5 linked regions of the Macaca mulatta genome follow. The protein of the gene in region 1 interacts with the protein of each later gene in a pairwise test. Links are inferred from orthologs where the notes say so. Each region holds a gene or a part of one and is shown in the gene's direction. Other genes may lie near its edges.

What was found.
Region 2: the proteins of PSMA3 (region 1) and AURKB interact in a two-hybrid assay, tested with the Homo sapiens proteins (2 studies listed by BioGRID and IntAct). The link is inferred for Macaca mulatta from reciprocal best matches to the Homo sapiens genes PSMA3 and AURKB.
Region 3: the proteins of PSMA3 (region 1) and FBXO7 interact in binary tests that used the Homo sapiens proteins (3 or more experiments, as listed by UniProt). The two-hybrid records come from large-scale screens. The link is inferred for Macaca mulatta from reciprocal best matches to the Homo sapiens genes PSMA3 and FBXO7.
Region 4: the proteins of PSMA3 (region 1) and ZNF366 interact in binary tests that used the Homo sapiens proteins (3 or more experiments, as listed by UniProt). The link is inferred for Macaca mulatta from reciprocal best matches to the Homo sapiens genes PSMA3 and ZNF366.
Region 5: the proteins of PSMA3 (region 1) and DMC1 interact in binary tests that used the Homo sapiens proteins (3 or more experiments, as listed by UniProt). The two-hybrid records come from large-scale screens. The link is inferred for Macaca mulatta from reciprocal best matches to the Homo sapiens genes PSMA3 and DMC1.

The regions. Positions count from the first base shown.
Region 1 is NC_133412.1:131,367,178-131,372,722, forward strand, and holds the start of PSMA3 (proteasome subunit alpha type-3), read left to right. Parts: upstream 1-1,874; 5' UTR 1,875-1,927; coding exon 1,928-1,948; intron 1,949-5,052; coding exon 5,053-5,135; intron 5,136-5,545. UniProt on the Homo sapiens protein: Component of the 20S core proteasome complex involved in the proteolytic degradation of most intracellular proteins. This complex plays numerous essential roles within the cell by associating with different regulatory particles.
Region 2 is NC_133421.1:9,715,195-9,718,907, reverse strand, and holds the end of AURKB (aurora kinase B), read left to right. Parts: coding exon 1-73; intron 74-315; coding exon of another isoform or gene 316-361; coding exon 362-500; coding exon of another isoform or gene 501-510; intron 511-610; coding exon 611-759; intron 760-1,871; coding exon 1,872-2,046; intron 2,047-2,217; coding exon 2,218-2,391; 3' UTR 2,392-2,525; downstream 2,526-3,713. UniProt on the Homo sapiens protein: Serine/threonine-protein kinase component of the chromosomal passenger complex (CPC), a complex that acts as a key regulator of mitosis.
Region 3 is NC_133415.1:19,016,169-19,021,227, reverse strand, and holds part of FBXO7 (F-box only protein 7), read left to right. Parts: intron 1-92; coding exon 93-320; intron 321-1,249; coding exon 1,250-1,391; intron 1,392-3,934; coding exon 3,935-4,018; intron 4,019-5,059. UniProt on the Homo sapiens protein: Substrate recognition component of a SCF (SKP1-CUL1-F-box protein) E3 ubiquitin-protein ligase complex which mediates the ubiquitination and subsequent proteasomal degradation of target proteins and plays a role in several biological processes such as cell cycle, cell proliferation, or maintenance of chromosome stability.
Region 4 is NC_133411.1:78,788,654-78,793,712, reverse strand, and holds part of ZNF366 (zinc finger protein 366), read left to right. Parts: intron 1-2,332; coding exon 2,333-2,507; intron 2,508-5,059. UniProt on the Homo sapiens protein: Has transcriptional repression activity. Acts as a corepressor of ESR1; the function seems to involve CTBP1 and histone deacetylases.
Region 5 is NC_133415.1:12,993,035-12,998,093, forward strand, and holds part of DMC1 (meiotic recombination protein DMC1/LIM15 homolog), read left to right. Parts: intron 1-1,661; coding exon 1,662-1,753; intron 1,754-3,104; coding exon 3,105-3,178; intron 3,179-3,307; coding exon 3,308-3,422; intron 3,423-4,731; coding exon 4,732-4,792; intron 4,793-5,059. UniProt on the Homo sapiens protein: Participates in meiotic recombination, specifically in homologous strand assimilation, which is required for the resolution of meiotic double-strand breaks.

The DNA.
Region 1 (5,545 bases):
AGAATTAATGAGTGAAATGTTGAGGCGTAAACAGGACGTGTACATATTCTCAAAGTATTTCCTCACAAGATACTAATTACAAAGGTAAAAGTAGAAACATTATCAGGGATAAATCTTCAGCCAGTGATCAAAGTTAACATTATCAGCAATAAAACAACTAACATCATGTCCCTAATACAATGCTCTGACATGAATGAATACAAGGTCATTTCTGTAGTATTCCTGCCACAAATGCATCACTTTAATCAAATAACAACAAAAAAATCAAACCTAAATTAAGGAATATTCTACAAAATAAATGGTTTGTATTCTTCGAAAATCTTCATGTCATGATAACTGAAGAAATACTGCTGGGCGCAGTGGCTCACGCCTGTAATCCCAGCACTTTGGGAGGCCAAGGCGGGCGGGTCACAAGGTCAGCAGATCGAGACCATCCTGGCTAACACGGTGAAACCCCGTCTCTACTAAAAAATACAAAAAATTAACTGGGCGTGGTGGCGGGCGCCTGTAGTCCCAGCTACTCGGGAAGCCGAGGGAGGAGAATGGCGTGAACCCGGGAGGCGGAGCTTGCAGTGAGCGGGAGATCGCGCCACTGCACTCCAGCCTGGGCGACAGAGCGAAACTCCGTCTCAAAAACAAACAAACAAAAAAACCTGAAGAAATACTAAGCAGCTATTTTCCAGACTAAAGCAGACAACTGAATGCAAGGTGTGATCTTGGATTTTCTTTAGCTATGAAGGACTTTATAGGGAAAATTACCGCCCCCAAAAAAGAAAGTTGATAGATCACAGTATTGCTAGTTTTCTAATTTTCACAATAATACTGTGTCTATGTAAAATAATGCTCCTGTGTTGGGGGGGAAATACACACTGACGTATTAATATTTAGGAGTAAAAAAAGGCTGATGCCCTATTTACAATCGGATTAAAATTCAAACCACTTCAAGATTTGCTGTCATGTGCACTTGTTCTCTTCCCGTCACTCTTCCCCACTTAATGAGGGGTCACTCTGACGTGACAGTTCCTAGCGCAAGCCAAGTTTTTTTACTGTTCCCTCAACCACTCTTTTGTTATCCTATTTTAAATATCACTCACTTAGAAAGTCATTCCCTGAGCACACTGCCTAAAGTTAGTACCTCCATTCTCTATTAAAGCACTCTTCCTTCTTACTATTTTGCTTATTTATCGTTATCTATTTCTTCCTACTGAATGTAAATTCCATTAGAAACGGTGGTATGTTCTGTTTACAGTTTTTTCTTGAACACGTGGAATACATTAGCGCTCAATAAATATCTTTAATCAGACATATCTTTAACTCTACCAAAAAGCGTTATACTCATAGAAAGAGTACTAATACTTGTGTAAAATTCCAAGCTGAATTCAAAGACGATACCCTTGAAGCGAAACTTCCCGAGAGCCTGGCATAAGAAGGTGAGGTGGATGCCATCAAGATTCTAGGTCAGGATGGGGACGCGGAGGAAGACAGGTTACTTCGCCCCTACTGCTTTTTCTATTCTTTGTGAGTATACGAGCATCTCTCCCTTTTGCTTAAAGACAGAATACAGTGACGAGGAGGGAATAATAATATAAAAAGATAAATAATAATTCCTAGGAAAGGAATAGAGCAGCTTCTCAGATAAAACGACGCCAAAAACTCAAAGTACGTGAACTAAAGGCGGAGCCTTTGCTTTCCCCAACCCCGCCTCTATTGCTTCTGAACATGCGCGCCGCCAGCCTCTAGCGTCCCGCTTCTTTCCCACAATACTCCTGGTCCTGGGGGCCGGAGCCGCGGAACGAGCCACAGAGAAAAAGGTTATTGGTTGGCGATGCAGCCAATGAGCGGGTCTGTTACTAGTTTGCGGCATCCTGTGGTGTAGGGGAAGCGCTCTAGGCCTGGAATCCTTACGCGTCCAGTTGGGTTTAGCACGATGAGCTCCATCGGCACCGGGGTGAGTTTGCTGTCTCTGGGTGTGATAGTTTAACCTAAGGCTTGGGGTTGAAGGGAACTGGGACAGACCACAAGGGTTTCGCGGACCTGGGGTGCTCTAAGACCGCCTTCGGCTGGGTGGGCCACTTGCAGCTGTTTGGAGACCGGTCGTCTTTATCCCCTATATGCTAGGCCTGCGTCTCAGGTGACCATGACTCCTGAAGCTTTTCAGCCCAGGTGTAGCTGGCTTGGCGTCGCCGCGGTGAGGTTTGGAGCAGCTTTGGATTGCTGAGTCACTTTCTTCAGCCACTTAGGGAAACCGAAAGTGGAAACTCGTGGGGCTTGAAATAGTGTGTTCTCTTGAGAACCACCGAGGCAGTGAGATTTGGGATTCCACGGTCTGGAGATCGTGCTTTCTGTGGACTGCGTTTGCAGTTCCCAGGTTGCTGCTGATTCACGGGCCTTCTCTGTCTTTAAGTGTGCAGATCATCGACCGCTCAGTTTAAGAGTCACTGGAAACCCTGTCGGAACAGAACTAATAAAAATGATCTGAATAACTAAATCTGATGAATCCTTCAGTTTTTCCTTTGTCCTTGTTTTTCCTATACAAAGTACCTAACAGCACTTGTAGGCATTTATCCCGTAAACGTTTAAGTGGTTACTTAGGAACTTAACAGCTTCAGACTTTTGATAGACTGTTGAGGATTTTGCAGTGGGACTTGTTAACTTGTTTGGTTTTCCTTTGTTAAACGTATGTATATGTGCAGTTTACTCCTTTTATGTACTCTATATAGAAAATACAGTTTCTACAAGATTTATTGGTTATTTGCACTAGAGTTACTGAATAATGAGTTTCTCAGTTCCTCAATTTCTACTTAACAAGATTCTCATGCTCAGCCTTAAGTTCAAGTACTGGTGTTCTAAATTTGATAATAGGCAATTTATGTCTGGAATGGTTTAATCCATTCGGTTATGAATGCTAAAGTTCTGCCATACTTTTCTTAGATAAGTAAATGCTCAATAATCTTGTAGCAAACTGACTTTGCAATTATATTATTACCTTCAATTAATAGTATTTCATTCTACAAACCTTTTAAAGAATACTTGATAATATAACCATGTGGGATATTTTAGTAACAATGGTAGGGTTAATGATCTGGGTTTAACAGATCAGGAGGCCGGGCGCGGTGGCTCAAGCCTGTAATCCCAGCACTTTGGGAGGCCGAGACGGGTGGATCACGAGGTCAGGAGATCGAGACCATCCTGGCTAACACGGTGAAACCCCGTCTCTACTAAAAAAATACAAAAAACTAGCCGGGCGAGGTGGTGGGCGCCTGTAGTCCCAGTTACTCGGGAGGCTGAGGCAGGAGAATGGCGTGAACCCGGGAGGCGGAGCTTGCAGTGAGCTGAGATCCGGCCACTGCACTCCAGCCTGGGCGACAGAGCGAGACTCCGAATCAAAAAAAAAAAAAAAAAAAAAACAGATCAGGAAACAGACTCAGAAAGTACCACTGTTGAAGGCTTATCTTCTGTGTTCATTTCTCCCAAGAACTCCAGATATGAATAATTGTTTGTCTGCTTGACACGTCTGTCCACTTGATTGTTTATTTTGTACTGCATGTCAAAGTAGAGCTCTGGGTTTTCTCCTTACCTTGCCATTTTGCATCTACTACAGTCTTCAGCTCAGTGAATGGTCATATGAAAACATCTGTGATTCATCTTTAATTCCTTTTTTTACTTCCAGAACCAACGCTTTAGCAAGTTTTTTTTTTTTTATTTTTTGAGATGGAGTCTTGCTCTGTCGCCAGGCTGGAGTGCAGTGGCACGATCTTGGCTCACTGCAACCTCCGCTTCCCAGTTCAAGCAATTCTCCTGTCTCAGCCTTCCGAGTAGCTGGGACTACAGGTGCACACCACCACGCCCAGCTAATTTTTGTATTTTTAGTAGAGACGGGGTTTCACCATGTTTGCCAGGATGGGCTCGATCTTTTGACCTCGTGATCAGCCTGCCTCGACCTGCCAAAGTGCTGGGATTACAGGAATGAGCCATCATGCCCGGCCTCGCAAGTTTATTTTTATTATTTTTATTTTTTTACTATACTCTGAAAAAGTATTCCCTTCTACCTCTTCTCTTGTCTAAGCTAGTACCACTATCTTTGGAACACCTTATCTTTGCTTCTGTTGTTCTCTCTAGAATTCATTTTCCACATAAAGCCAGAATGATGTTTTTTAAAATGTAGATCATACCACTCCCCCTGCTTAAATTCCTCGTTGCATTTAGAATAAAATACAAAGTCCTTATTGCAGCCTGGAAGACCCAACATAATTTGACCCACAGCTACCTCACTAACACAGTCTACTCTTCTTTCTGCTGCTTACAGTGCTCGGGACACAGTGACGTTACTTCTGTTTCTTGACTGTGCTAGCCTTATTTCTACCCTAAGATCTTTGTGCCAAATGCCAAGAAGGCTTTTCCTTCATATCTTAAATGGCTAGCTTCTTGTCATTTAGGTTTGACTCAGCCTAAATATTACTGCCCCAGAAGGCCTTCCCTGATGATGTAGTCTGTAGTAGTTCCTTCCATTGCTTTACTCTTTTATTTTCATCTTAGTGCCTTTTCTGATTTACTGCTGTATCTCTAGCACCTAGATTCATGTCTGATTTGAAATTGAAGGACTTAATGAATAAGTGATCACCTTTGTATTCCATGTAGTGGACTAACATAATAGATACTCATTAAGTGCTTGGTGAATGCCAAATGATTTGTTTGAAGTCTTTTAGTTTGTTAATTGCAGAGTTATGGTTACAAATTTAAATGTTCGAACTCCAGTGGTGGTTCTACTGCCCCATATTAATCTTTTTCAAAAATGAGTTTTGTAGTCTGTGTGAAAAGTGTTCTGACTTCACCTGGGACTTGTATCCATTACTCTTCAATAGCTGAAATCTAAGGTATATAGCTTTACCTTAGCTACTGTTGCTGCTCTGACAAATTTCCCTTTCCTCTCTTGAAAGCAAGGTCTTTGTTGGGATATAACATGTTCCTGATGCTTAAGCCATTTAGAGGGGAAGAAACTGTATGGTCATTACTGCCAAAGATACAAGCTTACTGTTGCCTTTTCTCCTTAAGTATGACCTGTCAGCCTCTACATTCTCTCCTGACGGAAGAGTTTTTCAAGTTGAATATGCTATGAAGGCTGTGGAGAATAGTAGGTAAGAAAATTTAACCAGGTATTACATGTCTCCTTTTATTTTATATTTTGGTGATTAGGCTTTGTTATGTTACTTTGGTACAAATTAGTATATGTCCCCAAATCTCTATTCATTTCTAGATCTCTTTCTAGGCCAGATGTTTTCCATGAACCCCAGTCCTGTATTTCTCGTTGATTCCAGGATTATCCACTTAGATTATCCATGTTGCAGAGTATATAAAATCACATTCATTATCATCTTTTTGTTTTCCATTTTCAAATTCTTGATTTGTATCATAGGCTTCCTTGGCCATTAGATTTGTGACCTTGTTATTTTTTATGTCTCATACATCTTGTGTTTTAAATGTCTTTTGCAATTAGTCACATGTTCGATTCAGCAAAGATTTTTTCTATGTCTGTTTCTCTTTTGAG
Region 2 (3,713 bases), on another chromosome or scaffold:
TCAAGTCCCAGATAGAGAAGGAGGGCGTGGAGCATCAGCTGCGCAGAGAGATCGAAATCCAGGCCCACCTGCAGTATGGGTTGATGCCCCCTGAGCCGAAGCCCCTCTGCTCCCTCACCCCAGCTCCTCACTCAGCCCTACCTCATCCAGATTGCGTTCTCTGTAGCTACGGCTAGTGAGCCCCATTTAGCCCTTAGTCCTGGCCAGAGCCTTGAATCCAGAAATCTGCCTCCAGTTTCCCCTTCCCACTCCCATTCCTGGTGTCCCCAGCCTGGGCCACGTCTGACCCCAGTTTGCTCCTATTATCTTTCCCAGCTCTTTTATGCCTTTGGCCTGAGGCTTCCTCTGTCTCTTCCCTCAGCCATCCCAACATCCTGCGTCTTTACAACTATTTTTATGACCGGAGGAGGATCTACTTGATTCTAGAGTATGCGCCCCGCGGGGAGCTCTACAAGGAGCTGCAGAAGAGCCGCACATTTGACGAGCAGCGAACAGCCACGGTCCGGGCGGGTGGGCACCTGGGCCGCCAGTAGGGGGCTGGAGGCTGAGGGTGTGCTGCTTGTAGCTGGAGGTCCATCCTTGTCTGATTGCCTGTCGTTGCCCCTCCCAGATCATGGAGGAGTTGGCAGATGCTCTGATGTACTGCCACGGGAAAAAGGTGATTCACAGAGACATAAAGCCAGAGAATCTGCTCTTAGGGCTCAAGGGAGAGCTGAAGATTGCTGACTTTGGCTGGTCTGTGCATGCGCCCTCCCTGAGGTATGGTGGCCTGGGAGGCCAGCCCTGGGTGTGAGGCGGGGCCGTTAAAACCTCTCCAGGGGCTGGGCGTGCTGGCTCACGCCTGTAATACCCGCACTTTGGGAGGCTGAGGCGGGCAGATCACCTGAGGTCAGGAGTTCGAAACTAGCTTTGCCAACATGCTGAAACCTTGTCTCTACTAAATATACAAAAATTAGCCGGGCATGGTGGCGGACACCAGTAATCCCAGCTACTCGGGAGGCTGAGGCAGGAGAATTGTTTGAACCTGGGAGGCGGAGGTTGCAGTGAGCCGAGATTGCGCCATTGCACTCCAGCCTGGACGGCAGAGTGAGACTCCTCTCAAAAAAAACAAACAAAATGGTTAGAATGTGGTGCTAAGAACCCCAAGGTCATGGGTTTGATCCCCGTATGAGCCAATGGTAAAACTTTGGCCAGGTGCGGTGGCTCACGCCTGCTAATCCCAGCACTTTGGGAGGCCAAGGCAGGTGGATCACTTGAGGCCAGGAGTTCAAGGCTAGCGGACTAGCCTGGCCAACATGGCGAAACCCCATCGTTACTAAAAATACAAAATGTATTAAGCAGACATGGAGGTGCACACTTGCAATCCCAGCTGTGCGGGAGGCTGAGACATGAGAATCACTTGAATCCGGGAGGCAAAGGTTGCAGTGAGCCAAGATCGCCCCCTTGCACTCCATCCTGGACTCTGTCTCAAAAAAGCCCGGAGCAGTGGCCTTTTTTCCTCCCACATCATTTTTTAACGGTTTCATAGTATCACATAGTAGCTGATTTATTTAAGCAGAACATGCCTGATGGGCATTAGAGATGTCCCCAGTGAACTCCAAAATGAACTCCAAATGAACACTGCCCTCATAGCAGAGTATCTCATTAAGACATATCCTTCAGCGTGGAGTTGCTGGGGCTGTGTGCAGGCTTACCTCTGGGGCTTTCAGATATGTCATCACCCCAACCCCACCCCCACTCCAGTAACCCTGCCTGGCTGGACCTCTCCCCTGGTACCTCCCGTGGTCTTTTGGCTCCCTGCCATCAGGTAGCAGGGAAAGGAGAGTTCCTATGTCACTGGGACCCCTGCCCACGCCCCTTATCCCTCCCAGGAGGAAGACAATGTGTGGCACCCTGGACTACCTGCCCCCAGAGATGATTGAGGGGCGCACACACAACGAGAAGGTGGATCTGTGGTGCATTGGAGTGCTTTGCTATGAGTTGCTGGTGGGAAACCCACCGTTTGAGAGCGCATCACACAACGAGACCTATCGGCGCATCGTCAAGGTGGGAGGGCGGCCTGGGCTTCGTGCCAGCTCCAGAGGCCAGGGGCTGGGGGGCTGGGGGTGGGCAGAGTGTATCCGCGTGGCCCTAAGTAACTCCAGACAGAATGGGTAGTCAAGGAAGATGTAGCCAGGGTGAAAGTAATGCAGCCCTTCCATCTCTTCACACCTGCAGGTGGACCTAAAGTTCCCCGCTTCTGTGCCCACGGGAGCCCAGGACCTCATCTCTAAACTGCTCAGGCATAACCCCTCGGAACGGCTGCCCCTGGCCCAGGTCTCAGCCCACCCCTGGGTCCGGGCCAACTCTCGGAGGGTGCTGCCTCCCTCTGCCCTTCAATCTGTTGCCTGATGGTCCCTGTCATTCACTGGGGTGTGTCTGTGTTTTGTATGTTTGTGTATGTATAGGGGAAAGAAGGGATCCTGAACTGTTCCCTTATCTGTCTTCTACCTCCTCCTTTGTTTAATAAAGGCTGAAGCTTTTTGTACTGATGCGTGTAGTTGTTTCTAGGTGGAGGCTTTGCTGTGGAGGAAGCTGTTCCCTAGAAGGAGAGGTGGCTCACCCTGAGGAGCTGGGATGAGCATTGCTTTGCTATCCCTGGTAACACCCAACCCTCTCAGCTCTGACACCCACCTGGTCAGCTCCCAGCCACCCCCACCCCTACCCCCACTTTCACCTCTACCCTGTCTGTTCTTTCCATTGCTCTGACTCCCAGAGCCCGGGGGCACTGGGGGCCCTGGCTCCCCATTGCTACATTGGAACACCAGCCATCTCTGGCCACCTTCTTTCACCTCTCTCTTGGTTGTCCAACTTCTAGTTTTTCCTTTTCTGTTTCATTCTCTGCCCCTTTGCCAGCGTAGGAGCAGCTGAACAATTCTGTACCCTAGAAACTGTCTTTGATTCTTTTACTGCTCTGGTCAGGATCTAGTACAGGAGCCAATAGAAGCAGTAGTGATTCTGTCTTGTTCCTGACACAAGGTTTCACTGTCATGTATGATGCTTGCTGTAGGTTTTTGATAGATACCCTTTATCAGGTTAAATAGGGCCTATTTACTCCTAGTTTACTCAGTCTTTAAAAAAAAAAAAAAAAAAAAAAAGTTAAGTCCAGATGCCTGCAATCTGGCTCATGCCTGCAATCCCAGCACTTTCAGAGGCCGAGGCGGGCGGATCACGAGGTCAAGAGATCGAGACCATCCTGGCCAACATGGTGAAACCCCATCTCTACTAAAAATACAAAAATTAGCTGAGCATGGTGGTGCATGCCTATAATTCCAGCTACTCAGGAAGCTGAGGCAGGAGAATCTCTTGAACTGGGGAGGTGGAGGTTTCAGCAAGCCCAAATCGCACCAATGCACTCCAGCCTGGCGACAGAGCAGGACGGAGCCTCACCCTGTGGTGCAGGATGGAGTGCAGTGGCCTGATCTCGGCTCACTGCAACCTCCAACCTCCTCTCGGGTTCAAGCTATTCTCCTGCCTCAGCCTGCCGAGTAGCTGAGATTACAGGCCTATAATTTACAGGCTATAATTATAGCCTATAATTTTTAATATGGATATCCCTAGGTTTTTTTTTAAAGCCCTTCTACTGGATGGACATGCAGATTATTTCCAGTGCTTTGCACTGTGGCCAGTGTCTTTTGAGTGCCTCCTGTGCACCTTTGTGATGGTCTCTTGTT
Region 3 (5,059 bases), on another chromosome or scaffold:
CTTTCAGCACTTAGTTCACGTTAGGATACAAAAAAGTATTGTGTAAAAATAAGTCTTTTTAATTAATTCGTTGTTTTGTTTTCCTTTTTCAGTTAGGGCCTAGTCAAAATTTTGAAGCTGAGTCAATTCAAGATATTGAGGATATGGCAGAGGGCACAGGTTTCTATCCCTCAGAACCCATGCTCTGTAGTGAATCGGTGGAAGGGCAAGTGCCACATTCATTAGAGACCTTGTATCAATCAGCTGACTGTTCTGATGCCAATGATGCCTTGATAGTGTTGATACATCTTCTCATGTTGGAGTCAGGTTACATGCCTCAGGTAAGTACTGCAAGCAAAACACAAACATCTTATAATTGCTCATACATGTGGATGGTTCCTGCTGTCAAGTTGCCCATAGTCTGAGAGTGGCAGAGATAGACAGAAATATAAAGCATTGTGCTATATTGGTGAAGTTCTGGGAGAGACATATTCATATATAGGATGCCAGGAATTCATGGAGGAGAACATTTAGAATATTGCTTCTCAAACTTTAATGTGCTTTGGAATACCTGGGGACCTTATTAAAATGCAGATTCTGATTTAGTAACTGTAGAATGGACCATGTACTTCTTCATACTCCTGCATAATACCAATGTTGCTGGTCTGAGAGCCATGTTATAAGTTAAAAAGATATAGAGTAATTAGGTGATCAGTGCACACCTGCAGCATGCCATGCACTGACCCAGAAATTAGGATATAAAAACATTGGGATATTTCCTGTCCTCAAGGAGTCCATACATAAATAGAGGAGAGAGACAAATAAAAAGATAATCAGAAATAACACAAGTAAACATAGATAATAATACAGTTGAAGTGTAACGGAAATATGAATAGACTGTTAGGGGACGAAAGGAAATGGCAAACAATTTTTCTTTGAAAAAGGCTTTACAGAGGAAGTGATATTTGGTTATTTTGGAGTTTTAAATAATCATATGGTTTTGCTAGGCAGAGAAGTGAGTCTTGGAAGAGAGAGATCAATCCCTGTTTCCATATTGCAATTTTACCTGTTTGAACAAAAATTTTGATTAAAAGTGTTGTAATATATTATCCTACAATATAAAATATAATGGCAATATTAATGATGCATTGTATTAAGAGGACTATGTGGAATGATTATTTCAAACAAGTTAGGAGTCTTTTGGATTTTTAATCTTTTTGAGAGTAACACCTTTCTTCATTATTTGTTTCCCTTTCATTTCGTTCCCCAGGGCACCGAAGCCAAAGCACTGTCCATGCCGGAGAAGTGGAAGTTGAGCGGGGTGTATAAGCTGCAGTACATGCATCCTCTCTGCGAGGGCAGCTCCGCTACTCTCACCTGTGTGCCTCTGGGAAACCTGATTGTTGTAAATGGTAATTGAATAGCATAGTCATGGTTGCTCGTTTATGGATTCTTAGACGTTTCTTTCCAAATGTTTTATAGCCACTTCAGTGATTGGCTATCATGATACAGTTGTGAGTCCTTCTCAACTTTATTGAATTCCTAGACCACTGATAACATGTGTCTGGAAGATTATAGAGTAAGAGGTTGTTGGGTTGTTTAGGCCAGCACCCTTCACTCTTAGGGCATCCATTTTCTTGATGTCTTAATCTTTGTAATATTTTGCTCTGGGGGGTAATATTTAATATTATCCAATATTATCAATATTTGATAATATGAGTGAAATGAGCCTATTATACATGAACTCTTTGGAGAATACTTTTTCTTTATCCCTGTGGATGGCTTTATTTTTTTAACGAAGGTCTTGAACTGAGACATGGGGAACTAGAGCTGGGGTCACCATTTATCCAAGTTCGCATCTCTGTGGCCAGCAGTGCACAACAACAATGCTAAGTTTACTGAGGCCTTAGTAAGTGTGTGTTTTATTTACTGGGCCTCCCCCAACAAATGTCACTCTGCATAAATAACTTTTCCTGTCTCCTTTTTCATATTAATAAATTTCACTGGAATAGCAAGGCATTCCATCTTTGTGTTTTAGTTCAGATACCACTTTGGTTCATATCAACTCCTAGTAGTCTATCATAATCACACATCCTGGAGATCCATTTGAATGACTAGGAGCTTTCATTTTTATTCTGTTTTGTTTTTTGAGGTTTATCCTTTTAGTTAGAAAGATAGTGTGGCAAGATTGGGAGGGCTGCATTTGTTGTTTTGTTTATTCAGTATAGCTCATCTTTTTTGTTTAGCAAAGGAAGTTGCTTTGATAAGCCTTAGGTCAAAGGTTTAGGTCAGGTTTTCAGTATGTTCTGCAGCTGCTCCTTTGCCTAGATGAAAGTTAGGTAGAAGCCTTATCACCACTTAAAAGCAGCGAAATGTTTATCTGTTTCATTTATTGAAGTTTTGTGTGAGATTCTGTTTGAAAAAAATGGTGGTTGTTTTTTTTTCCTGCTAAAATCTATTTTGAAAGCTACTGACTTATGCTGTCTTGATCTTTGAGATGTTGGATAGTTCTCATTCCCCTCTTACGAAGTTTCTTTTTCTTTTTCTTTTTTTTTTTTTTTTGAGACAAGGTCTTGCTCTGTCACCTAGGCTGGAGTGCAGTAGCCAGAGCATGGATCATTGCATCCTTGACCTCCTGGGCTCAAGCGGTGTTCCTCCTTGGCCTCCTGAGTAGCTAGGACCACAGGCGTGTACCACCACACCTGGCTATTTTTTATTTATATTCTGTAGAGATGAAGTCTCACTGTGTTGCCCAGCCTGGTCTCGAACTCCTGGGTTCAAGCAGTATTCCTGCCTTGACCTCCCAAAGGGCTGGGATTACAGGTGTGAACCACGCCTGGCCTCTTAAGAAATTTCTATTTCTTTAGTCATAAGATTCTTTGAAATGTTATTTAAAAGTCTCAAAACGTTAGGTTTTAATAGCTTTGGTGGTACTTCACGTTTGTCAGGACATGACTGTCTGATGACACTAGGACCTAGCAATGTCTATTCAGCAGTTCATCATAATTAGCAGATGTAGCTTTTAGTCTGGCATTCTTGTACACAGAGTGTCAACAGTTTCTGCCTTCATCTCATCATTCTGCTACATCACATCATAACTTGCAAGGTTGAAGTTACCAAATAGTAAATGTGTAGTTGCAAATTTTGCCTTGATTTCTTATAAAAGCACTTAATGACATGTATAATAACCTCTATTCATTAGATTCAGAATACTTAATATAAAAAGAATAACTACTGAATGTCTTGATGATTTCTTAATTTCTCATACTTTGTTTCTTTACTGTTCTTGGCAAATCAGCTCTTGGCAGACTTGCATGGCAGCCAGCCATTCCAGGATTGATTATTTGAAAAGAGCAGTGTGTCTTTAAATCTTTCCTTCACTCCAGGCATCCTGCTTTGTGCACATGTGCATAAGCACATCACTGGGCTCTTTCATGGAATGAGTTGAAGTGCACCTTTGTATACATGATTAAAATTGAACCCTCTGGTGATGTCAAGAATATTGGTCCTTTGGGTCTGGAAGAGAGATGATGCTCTGAAAACTAGCAAGATTATTTTAATGAACAAGGGAAGACTCATTGCCAAGGGTTAAATAAAAGATAAATGGAGTTTTTACTGACTTCATTAGAAATAATGATTTTATTGTGTTTAGTTGCCTCTGATTAGCCTTGTTGCGTATCTTTCAATTACTAATAAGCTGCTGCCTAGTAGATTTTATATAAAGATGCTTACTGTAGTTTTTAAAGGTGGTGTTGTAGAGTGATTTTACTTCATGTGATGCCAGGTTTACACTTTTGAACTTGCTGTCAGAGAAAGAAATAGGCGAAGAACAGTTTGTTTTATATAATGTGTCCTTAGTATATTAGGAGCAAGGAAATGCAAGCCCATACTAAAAAAGAAAGGCAGTTGATGAAGTGACAGAATTTTTTATCATCTTTCTTTTGTTTATTTACAGCTACACTGAAAATCAACAATGAGATTAGAAGTGTGAAAAGATTGCAGCTGCTACCAGAATCTTTTATTTGCAAAGAGAAACTAGGTAATATAAACATTATTTAACTTTTGGAGTGAAACTCTGTGAAATTCGTGTAAGAAAAAAATCTGAAAGATAATGTTCAAAAGACAGAAAATTTCTATGTGAGATTAAAGCATATGTAAGATAATGTGGTTTGCTTAAGAATGCAAAGGTTTAAAAAATGCGAAAGTTTTGCTTATAATTTGAGGAGTTTGTTTCTTTCCTGTTTTTCTTAGGGTCATAGAGTGCTGAATTATATTGTTATGAGATAACACTAGTATGTAATTTATTACACTCTGATGATAGTTCATAGTTTCTGTACTAATCTTTGGAGATCTCTCTGGCATCATATTTAACCAATATAGAGATCTGTGTTTCATGGAAGTAATTCAAGTTCATTATTAAAGATTATTGGAGGAAAAACTGCAGTCAAAATCTTTGTTTAAACCTACATAAATTTGATTGCTGTTTTATACAGATTGATACTTTACCAAAAGTTTGCATTCTAGATAAGGTTTTGCCTAAACTCTCTAAAATTATTAATAGATGCAAAGAAGACAGATTTTCCTTTTTATCATTTCTCAGTTAAACCAAACTGTGAGAGGCAGTTACAGGTGGTTGGAGGAGAAGAGATAAGGTGGAGAGGGGAACTGACATTTTTTAAGTGCCTGTTTCATTCTGCACTTGTGTCCGTACATATGTTATTCCATTTAATCTTCTTAGTAAACTTAGGAGGGTTTTAAGAGCCTAGTGGGAATGTTGTGGTACAGTGGGAAGATGGCATTTATAGCAGTCCTTTAGGAAAGGCTGGCTAGATTGACATTGTTGCTTTGAAGGTCTAAAGACTTATTCTTGCTCATTCCTAGGGGAGATCAGCCCTGAGAGATTGATTTATACTAACTAAAACTGATGGGAAAAGGAGACAGCAGAATACATATTTATAATGGTCTCTGGTTGGACGTAGAATCAGAACTTGGGCATTAGGTGAATTGAGCTTTTTTTTTTTTTTTGAGACGCAGTCTCACTCTGTCGCCAGGCTGGAGTGCAGTGGTGCTATCTTGGCTC
Region 4 (5,059 bases), on another chromosome or scaffold:
AGATGCTTACTGAGGAACTATGATGTGTCACACCAATACTAGGCAGATAATAAATAAAAAAGCAGACAAAGCTTCAACGCGTGTTGCAGTCTCCTGAGTGAAAATATATATGAACCAAATACTGGTTATGCTCAGCAACTGTAACAGCAACTTCACTCCAAATAACCAGGAACCATCCCACAATCCAAATAAGGTATGCTTTTTCTAAAAATGACCCATGACTGGAAATTCTTAATGTAGAATCTCTAGCTTCAAAGCTTCTTTTTGGCCTAGCATGGTGGCTTACCCCTGTAATCCCAGCACTTTGGGAGGCTGAGGCAGATGGATCACTTGAGGTCAGGAGTTTGGGACTGGCCTGGCCAACATGGCCAGAGAAACCCCATCTCTACTAAAGACACAAAAATTAGCCAGGCACCTGTAGTCCCAGCTACTTGGGAGGCTGAGGCACGAGAATCTCTTGAACCTGGGAGGTGGAGGCTGCAGTGAGCCAAGATGGTACCACTGCACTCCAGCCTGGGCAACAGAGCGAGACTCTGTCTCAGAAAAAAAAAAAAAAAAAAAAAAAAAGAGAGCCTTCAGCCATGATGGTGGAGAAGTGGGCAAATTAAGCTAATAAGCATAACTCTAATAGAACTTTTACACATATGCATGACTGAGCCACAGATTGATACATCTTACTAAATTATCTCAATTGAGAATAAAAGAGTCATCTATCCTGCATATTGCTTCTCTTGCAAAAGTTGGAATTAGACCAGTTCTGTCATCCTTTTCTCCTCTTAGGTCACCATTTTCAAATGAATGTGGCATGCAGATGCTCTATCTGGATGCTGAGCTTGGAACCCCACCCAGTAGGCCAAATTCATTCATGCTAGTAAGAGAGAGCAAAAGCGGGGAAAGTACTTACAATTCTCAAACATGAATCATTCAAGAATACAGAGCCAGCCATTCATTGTCCATACATGGACCCAGCATTCTTCTAGGCTAAACTCCCCAAATCATCATTGGAGAGGTCTATCTACTCTTTCAAGACGAGCTCAACACTCATCTTCCGTAGCCAACTAATGAAATTGTTGCCTTCATCAATAAAAATTTAATCCAGAATCCCCAACATTGGCCCTAAAAATATATCTCAGTTAGGAAGGAAAACTGGTGTAAGCTCAGAGGATGCCTCACCCTGAGGGTCTCTGTGGCCTCTCTCACTATGTAGTGCTGCCCCAGCTCCACTGGCCTCTGAGGTTGGGGAGGGAAGGAGAATTCTTCTCTCTTAACATTCTTGTCCAATCACAGACACAAAATCACTGTTTGCATTCCTCCTACCACAGCCTGAAATGTTCCTGTTCTAGTAAGGCTTGGGGACAACAAAAGCTCCCCCAAAGCAGTCTGCTTCTGGGTTCCTCTTTCTGCCTATACAAAATCACCTGTGAGAAGAAAGTTCTGCTCTTCTTCCAAAAGCAGTTGGAGAACCAGTTGTCCTTCATGTATTTGCAGTTCGATTGAAATAGAATGATGAGAAAGAGTAAAACATGTTTACTTTTTGTACACTCTCACTACTTCAAATTTCTACCCAGAGAAAAGACACGTTCCTTCCTGAGATGATTTGTCATTTTTTTAACTTTGAAATCCATACCAGTAATTAGAAAATAAAGCAATTTAAAAAGCATTGTGTGATACATCATATATAATAATACAGTGTATTCTTTTATTCTCTTCTGCCTGATACAGAAGAGTTGTGCTGGGAGACACACAATGTGGTCTGGTGGTTGACCATGTGGCCTCTGGCATCTGATGGCCTGAGTTCATTAACCCAGCTACAGCACCCACTACTTGTGTGCCTTGGCCAAGTGACGTAAGTCCTCAGATTGTGCATCTGTAAAATGGGGATGGTAACAGCAACCATCTCATATGATTGGTGTGAGAATTAAATAAGATATTCCATGGTAGACTTAGAACAATGCCTTCCATATTGCAACTGCTGCATAAATATTAAACACATAATCACATTCTTATTATTAAAGGAGGAACACTTGTAGCCACTGCTTTTCAGATCAGCTCTTCTCCTTTTCCAAAGCTTTTATTCAAAAGAAGTTTTACAAGCTTTGATATTTTTACTTTGTATTTAAAGGTTTCTAAACTCCAGGAACAAATCTCATGAATCTACCCCCACTTGCTCCACCTTTGAGGCTCCTTCCTGATTTCCTTATGGACATTTTCCTTGCAAGTAGATTAAAATGTCAAGGTCCAAACAAAGTAGAAGCGGTATCTGTGCTCCAGGGGCCTGGATGGGGCTTCACTCAGGCAGAGTAACCTGTGTTCTCATTCCCATCTTTGACAGCTTTGTGGGAAGGAGTTCAACCGGATGCACAACCTGATGGGCCACATGCACCTGCACTCGGACAGCAAACCCTTCAAGTGCCTCTATTGCCCAAGCAAATTCACCCTGAAGGGGAACCTGACACGCCACATGAAAGTCAAGCACGGAGTCATGGAGCGGGGCCTTCATTCCCAAGGTAATCACTCTTCTGGGAAGCCCCGCGAGTCAGTCCAGTGGACAGCAAATGGGAGCTGAGTTCATTTTATGGGGCATTACCTTGAGGGTTACTCTTGTCAAGACCACAGCAGAGTAGCAGGAGTAGCCTTCTAATGTTACTAGAAAAAAATCTCATGCTAATTTCTGAAGGTAGTAAGTACAAGTGAATTAGAGTAAATAGGACTGTCATCCTGATGCCAGTTGGTACCATTATTGGTTCCTTTGTTCCAGACACTACATCAGGTGCCTTGTCGCTAATATTCATGGCAACTCCAGGCTGGAAGAACTTCTATTATTTCTATTTTACAGTGGGGCAATGAAGGCTTCAAGAGATCAGTTTGCCCAAAGTTGCTCTGCTGAAAAGTGGCAGAGTCAAGATTTGAACCTAGGCCTTTCTGACTCTGCAGACTTTATTGTACCCACTTCATGGCATTGCTGTGAATGGGAATGCAATTTTTCTTTCCTTTTTAGAAAACAGATGTGCAAGCCCTACTGTTAGCAGAACTATGTTGGTAGCAGGCTAGGTGTTTCCTACTTGTTCATGACCAGACACACCCAGGGACAATTTTCCTGCTTGGTAGGTAGGGCTGATTGGCCCATATGCAGAGCCGGGGTTTACACCTCCCCCACTGAGTCCTCACTGAACTAATGAAAAGTTCTTACCACCTTTACCTTCTCAGTCCCAGGGCCCTTGGGAGTGAAGAGTTTATGTTCCAGATCTACTGAATTCAGCCGGGTTGCTCCTTAATTGTCTAATCAACCAGTCCTTCAATAAACAGGCAATAAATGCCCCTGTGTCCAAAGCAGTGAACTACACGCAGCAGCAGATACTAGGGGAAGGAGACCATCTGCCCTCTAGGATGTCTGTGCATGGGGAGAGAAGACAATTTTATGTGTAATTTACAAAATCATCTTAACAGCTTTTCGGTCACTAGTATCATCAAAGCACGGGGTGAGACCCCTTAGGGACATTATTGCTTGGCCCTACAATGCCATGAAAGAGACTGTGTTATTCTTATTTTGTATAAGAGGAGACCAAGGCCTAGAGATGTTAGATAAACTGCTCAAGGTCAAACAGCAAGTCTGAAGACAAAACTGGGATTCCAACTTAATTTCTGAATCAAGCCAGTGCTCACTACCCTAGGCAGAAACATGGGGTGATTTGTTTGTGTGCTGTTTCACTCACCTCCTTACAAAAGAGATGGTCAAGTGGGTGAGCATATTCATAAATAGATACACATATGCACACACAGTGTGAAACAAAATGGTTGTAACTTTCAGGTTTTTCATAGTACCCACTGAGTTTCTAGTAACTCCTGGATCACAGGGAGCTGTGGTCACAAAACAAGAGCTGGAATTTGTTCAAAAGCCCTGAAAAAAAATGTAGTTAAAACAAAAACAATTTTGTTTTTCCTGCAAACGTTTTTCTCTTGAATTATTCACTGAATCTCTAGTTGCCTGAGCCACTTCCCCAAGCTAGGCCTGGATTTTTCCAGAAGAAGTGAGGTTTGCTCTGTCATCAGGATGGGAGACATACAAGTCAATGAGGAGACCACACTCCATCTGAAAGCACGAACTGGTTGCCATGACTTACCCCACACTGCTGCTCAAATCCTAAAAGGCACCTAACAGCTCTGTTGTTCTGGAAAAATAACTATCAGAGGGTTGCTTTGAAAAATTTTAACAGACTTTCAACAATCTTAGTGTTTTCATCTACAAAGGGTATTAGCTTTTATTTTTCACTCTAGCTTTTGAAATCGCTCAAAAATCATTAAAAAGATCTTTCCTGTCCCCTGACAAGATTAAAGATACAGACAGTTTCATTGCCTGACAGCATCAAAAAGTGAACACAATTGAACATCATCGCCCCTACCCTTCTTTTTTGCACCCCGCTCCCAGAAGCCTGGTCTAGCTGCACCCCAGGACCCCTCCCTTGCTGTTGCTCGTCCTCAGTGTCCAGCCTGTCCCTGGAGGACTGCCTATTGACTCATCAAAGGTCAAGGTCTTAAAGATAGGATCAAATGAAACTGCCATGCTGAAAAGCCCATCCCTACAGCCCTGCAAACTGAAGCCCAAAGTGAGGCTTCCGTGAATCACTGTGCCCAACAGCAGGGACACTGGTGGTCAGACACAGGAGCTGTGTGAGCTCCTCAGAGGACCTCTTCATGCCACCCCTACCCTGTCTATGAGTAGGCTGTTGGCATAGGGGCCACAGTCCTGGGGTGGTGTCTGCTGCCCCAAATGGGATATCTTTGTTTTGTTCAAGATGAAAATGCCTTTATTATTGATTTACTTTTTTTATGATAAAACGTATGCTCATGGTAAAAAATAAAACAATAGCACATTAAAAGTGAAAAGAGAATGTTTGTTAATTTTAAGATTTTGACATACTTCTTCAAGACATTTTTTGATAGAGATGGCTAGCTACATAAAATCAGGTCTGCACTATAAATAAACACGCACACACAAACTTACATATATATTTTGTTTTTACTTAAAATACATAGCAAATATCTTTTCGTGATCATTAGT
Region 5 (5,059 bases), on another chromosome or scaffold:
TTGTATAAGGGCACTTTGAACTTTTAGTATTTAACTTAACCACTCAGTCAGTGCTGAAACAGTTGTTATGGAGGCCTGCATTAGTAAGACCTGGCCTGCCACAACATAGTGTCTGGGATTTGTAGAAGCTGACATGATGAAAATGTTTTTATTGACTCTTCCAATTCCCTGTCTTTAACTTGTCCACCAAAAACATCTACTGGGTATGCTCAATAGCAATGGAAGATTTTTGTGGCCGTTACCAAAGCTCTAACAACAAGAACATATCTAGTGCATTAGGCTATAAATGACTGGGAAATCCTAACGACAATTCAACTAAACAGTTATTAAATTAATTGCAAACATCACAAATAAGATTATAAATAGTCCTTGATTTACAGTTACTTATACTAGGATCAGTGTTATGTAAACTCTATAAACAAAGTGAAATAAGGGCACAAACATGCATTTAATTTTACCTCATTTTACTTCAGACATATTGTTGGGATCACCAAAGACCTAAAAAAAAATGTTTATTACTCCTTTATAGTTTATAGATAGAAGTGATTATTAGCTTCTTCCAAAATACCTTTGCAGGTGCACTTAGTTTGCTTCCCTATGAATTTGCTAATTTCAGAAAGCTAACAACTCCTGGCTAGGCATGGTGGCTCATGCCTGTAATCCTAGCACTTTGGAAGGCCGAGGCAGGCAGATCGCTTGAGGTCAGGAGTTCGAAACCAGCCTGGCCAACATGGCAAAACCCCGTCTCCACTAAAAATACAAAAATTAGCTAGATATGATGGCTTACGCCTGTAATCACAGCTACTCAGGAGACTGAAGGAGGAGAATTGCTTGAACCCAGGAGGCAGAGGTTACCGTGAGCCGACATCATGCTACTGCACTCCAGCCTGGGCAACGGAGTGAGACTTCATCTCAAAAAAAAAAAAAAAGCTAACAATTCCTTTAGAAGAAAGTACATTTTAAACTCTGTATACTTTCCAAGTAAGATTTGAAAAGAAAAAGAAAACCTGTGCAAACAAAAAAACCTTTGGTCTATATTTCTCTTCTGGACCCTTGAAGTTACCTTTTTGACCCTTTGGTTCATGTAGTCACATTTATCATTTAATAACACGTGATTAATGATATAGTAAACTATTTCATATTGAGCAAATGAGGGTTTTGAAGAGAGTGAATTAATCTACTTTGCAGTTACTGAATTATAATTCAGTGATATTATCTGTTATAGGTCTATTATCTATTGTAGATCTGAGAACAAAAAGACTCACAAAGCTTAGTTTCCAGTTTTTCTCTTGTAACCGATTTGCTGCATAAGCTCAAGTCATTTGCCTAATCTCTGTTTCCCAGTGTCCTATGTTGTAAAATGTAAAATAGGCCATAAAAACTAGCTTCCAAGGTTATTGTAAAGATTTGATCATTTAATAGTTAAATTCATTACTGCCCCACATTTCTATGACCATTATCACTACCTATGGTAAGTTGAGGCACTTATGAAAAAACAAATCTTGTATAGACTTTAAATGGTTGCTAGCATCCTCTAGAATACCTTCACAGGTACATTGTTTGGCTTCTCTGTTAATTTATGTAAGATACTATGTTTTGTAGTGGTTGTCTAAGCTTTTTTATAATTGATTTATTGGATCCTTAATCTTGGCATACTCCAGCCGTCCAGATCGCCTTCGGGACATTGCTGATCGCTTCAATGTAGACCATGATGCAGTACTGGACAACGTACTTTATGCACGTGCATATACTAGTAAGAGCCCCATGCAGTTGGATGCTTGGGTCAATGTAAGGTTGGCAGCACTGATTTACTACTTGAGTGATATAACATTTTGATACTTTTTTTCTATTTTAATTTTCTCTAAATTAATTTACTCAGTCTATAAATTTTATCATCTGGTAGGTCCTTAGATAATAAAGTGCCCTTAAATTATTTATTATTCTTAGTCTTTGAAATGAAGAGTAACATTCTTTTTGGATAATGTAGCATTTGGTATATATGCTAAGGCAGAATATGCAATAATTTTTTTTTTTTTTGAGATGGAGTCTCACTCTGTCACTCAGGCTGAAGTGCAGTGGTGCAGTCTCGGCTCACTGCAACCTCCACTTCCCGGCTTCAAGCGATTCTCCTACCTTAACCTCCCAAGTCGCTGGGATTACAGGCACGTGCCACCACACCCAGCTAATTTTTGTATATTTTTTATATATATATATATATTTTATTTATTTATTTTTTTTTTTGAGACGGAGTCTCGCTCTGTCGCCCAGGCTGGAGTGCAGTGGCCGGATCTCAGCTCACTGCAAGCTCCGCCTCCCGGGTTTACGCCATTCTCCTGCCTCAGCCTCCCGAGTAGCTGGGACTACAGGCGCCCGCCACCTCGCCCGGCTAGTTTTTTCTATTTTTTAGTAGAGACGGGGTTTCACCGTGTCAGCCAGGATGGTCTCAATCTCCTGACCTCGTGATCTGCCTGACTCGGCCTCCCAAAGTGCTGGGATTACAGGCTTGAGCCACCGCACCCGGCCATTATATATATTTTTTAAACGAGATAGAGTCTTGCTCTGTCGCCCAGGCTGGAGCATAGTGGTGCAATCACTGCTCACTGCAGCCTCAGCCTCCCAGGTTCAAGCGATTCTCCTGCCTCAGCCTCCCGAGTAGCTGGGATCACTGGCGCCCACCACCGTGCCCAGCTAATTTTTGTATTTTTCTTTTTTTAGTAGAGACAGGGTTTCACCATGTTGCCAGGCTGGTCTTGAACTCCTGACCTAATGATCCGCCTGCCTCGGCTTCCCAAAGTGCTGGGATTACAGGTATGAGCCACCGCGCCTGGCCTAATTTTCGTATTTTTTTAGTAGAGTCAAGGTTTCACCATGTTGGCCAGGCTGGTCTTGAACTCCTGACCTCAAGAAATCCACCCGCCTCGGCCTCCCAAAGTGTTGGGATTACAGGCATGAGCCACCATGCCAGGCTGCGATAATATTTAATAAAGTAATAAATAAGAGAATTCTTCAAGGACTTTCTTTTGCCTGGCTCCCAAGAATATGAATGATCTTAGCCTCTGCTTCTTTCAACTTTTATAACATTTTCTCACTGCATTTCCCACCAGGTGAACATCAGATGGAGCTACTTGATTATGTAGCAGCAAAGTTCCATGAAGAAGCTGGCATCTTCAAACTATTGGTACAAGCTTTTAAATACTGCTTTCACAGAGCTATTTAGCATAATATTTTTATTCTATTGATCTCTATTCAAATAACGTTTTCCTTCAATTTCCAAATGCATGTTTATTTTTACCTTAATCCTGTGTAGATTATCGATTCAATAATGGCACTTTTTCGAGTGGATTTCAGTGGCCGTGGAGAGTTGGCCGAACGGCAGCAAAAATTGGCCCAGATGTTGTCACGACTCCAAAAAATCTCAGAAGGTATATCTTTAAAATAAAATGGCATCTGTGACTATGTTTGTCAAGTATACTTTGCAGAGAAGCTTGGAATATAATGTCAGGAGGCAGTGGTTTTTTTTTTTTTTTTTTTTTTAATAAAATTACCTTCATGAGAATACAACTCTTTTTTTTTTTTTTTTTTTTCTTTTTGAGGCAGTGTCTCGCACTGTTGCCCAGGCTGGAGTGCAGTGGCACGATCTCGGCTCACTGCAACCTCCGCCTCCCAGGTTCAAGCGATTCTTACTCCTTAGCCTCCTGAGTAGTTGGGATTATAGGCACCTGCCATCATGTCTGGCCAATTTTTTGTATTTTTAGTAGAGATGGGGTTTCACCACGTTGGCCAGGCTGGTCTCAAATTCCTGACCTCATGATCTGCCCACCTCAGCCTCCAAAGTGCTGAGATTACAGGCATGAGCCACTGCACCCAGCTTTACAACTGTTTTTTTAAACCAAAAATATTTATTATTTATTTTTATTTATTTATTTATTTTTTTTTGTTGCCGGGGCTGGAGTACAGTGGCCGGATCTCAGCTCACTGCAAGCTCCGCCTCCCGGGTTTACGCCATTCTCCTGCCTCAGCCTCCCAAGTAGCTGGGACTACAGGCGCCCGTCACCTCGCCCGGCTAGTTTTTTGTATTTTTTTAGTAGAGACGGGGTTTCACCGTGTTAGCCAGGATGGTCTCAATCTCCTGACCTCGTGATCCGCCCGTCTCGGCCTCCCAAAGTGCTGGGATTACAGGCTTGAGCCACCGTGCCCGGCCCAAAAATATTTATTCTAACCTTAATAATAATAATAACAAATAATTTTTGTTGTCAATGAAAAATAGGAATATGATGTTATTTATAAAATAAATTCATGATGCAATATTCCTAAACTCTAAAATCTAAACGATGAACTTTTAAATATCTATATTGCCTCTCTTGGCTCGCGCCTGTAATCCCAGCACTTTGGGAGGCCGAGGCGAGCGGATCACTTGAGGTCGGGAGTTCGGGAGTTCGAGACCAGCCTGACCAACATGGAGAAACCCCGTCTCTACTAAAAAATATAAAATTAGCCTGGTGTGGTGGCGCATGCCTCTAATCCCAGCTACTCGGGAGGCTGAAGCAGGAGAATCACTTGAACCCAGGAGGCGGAGGTTGTGGTGAGCCGAGATCACGCCATTGCACTACAGCCTAGGCAACAAGAGTGAAACTCCGTCTCCAAAAATAAATAAATAAATAATAAATAAATAAATATATATATATATATATAGCCTTTCTCATAGTTTTAAAATTTTATCTCTTGATACAGAATATAATGTGGCTGTTTTTGTCACCAATCAAATGACTGCCGATCCAGGAGCAACTATGACGTAAGCCCCAATATTCTACTTTTTATTTCACAGAGGTTAACATAAAGAGGGTTAAGGGTAAAACAGAAAATAATTTCAAGGCTGGGCACAGTGGCTCATGCCTGTAATCCCAGCACTTTAGCACGCCAAGGCAGGCAGATCACGGGGTCAGGAGATTGAGACCAGCCTGACTAACATAATGAAACCATGTCTCTACTAAAAATACAAAAATTAGCCGGGTGTGGTGGCGCACACCTGTAATCCCAGCTACTCAGGAGGCTGAGGCAG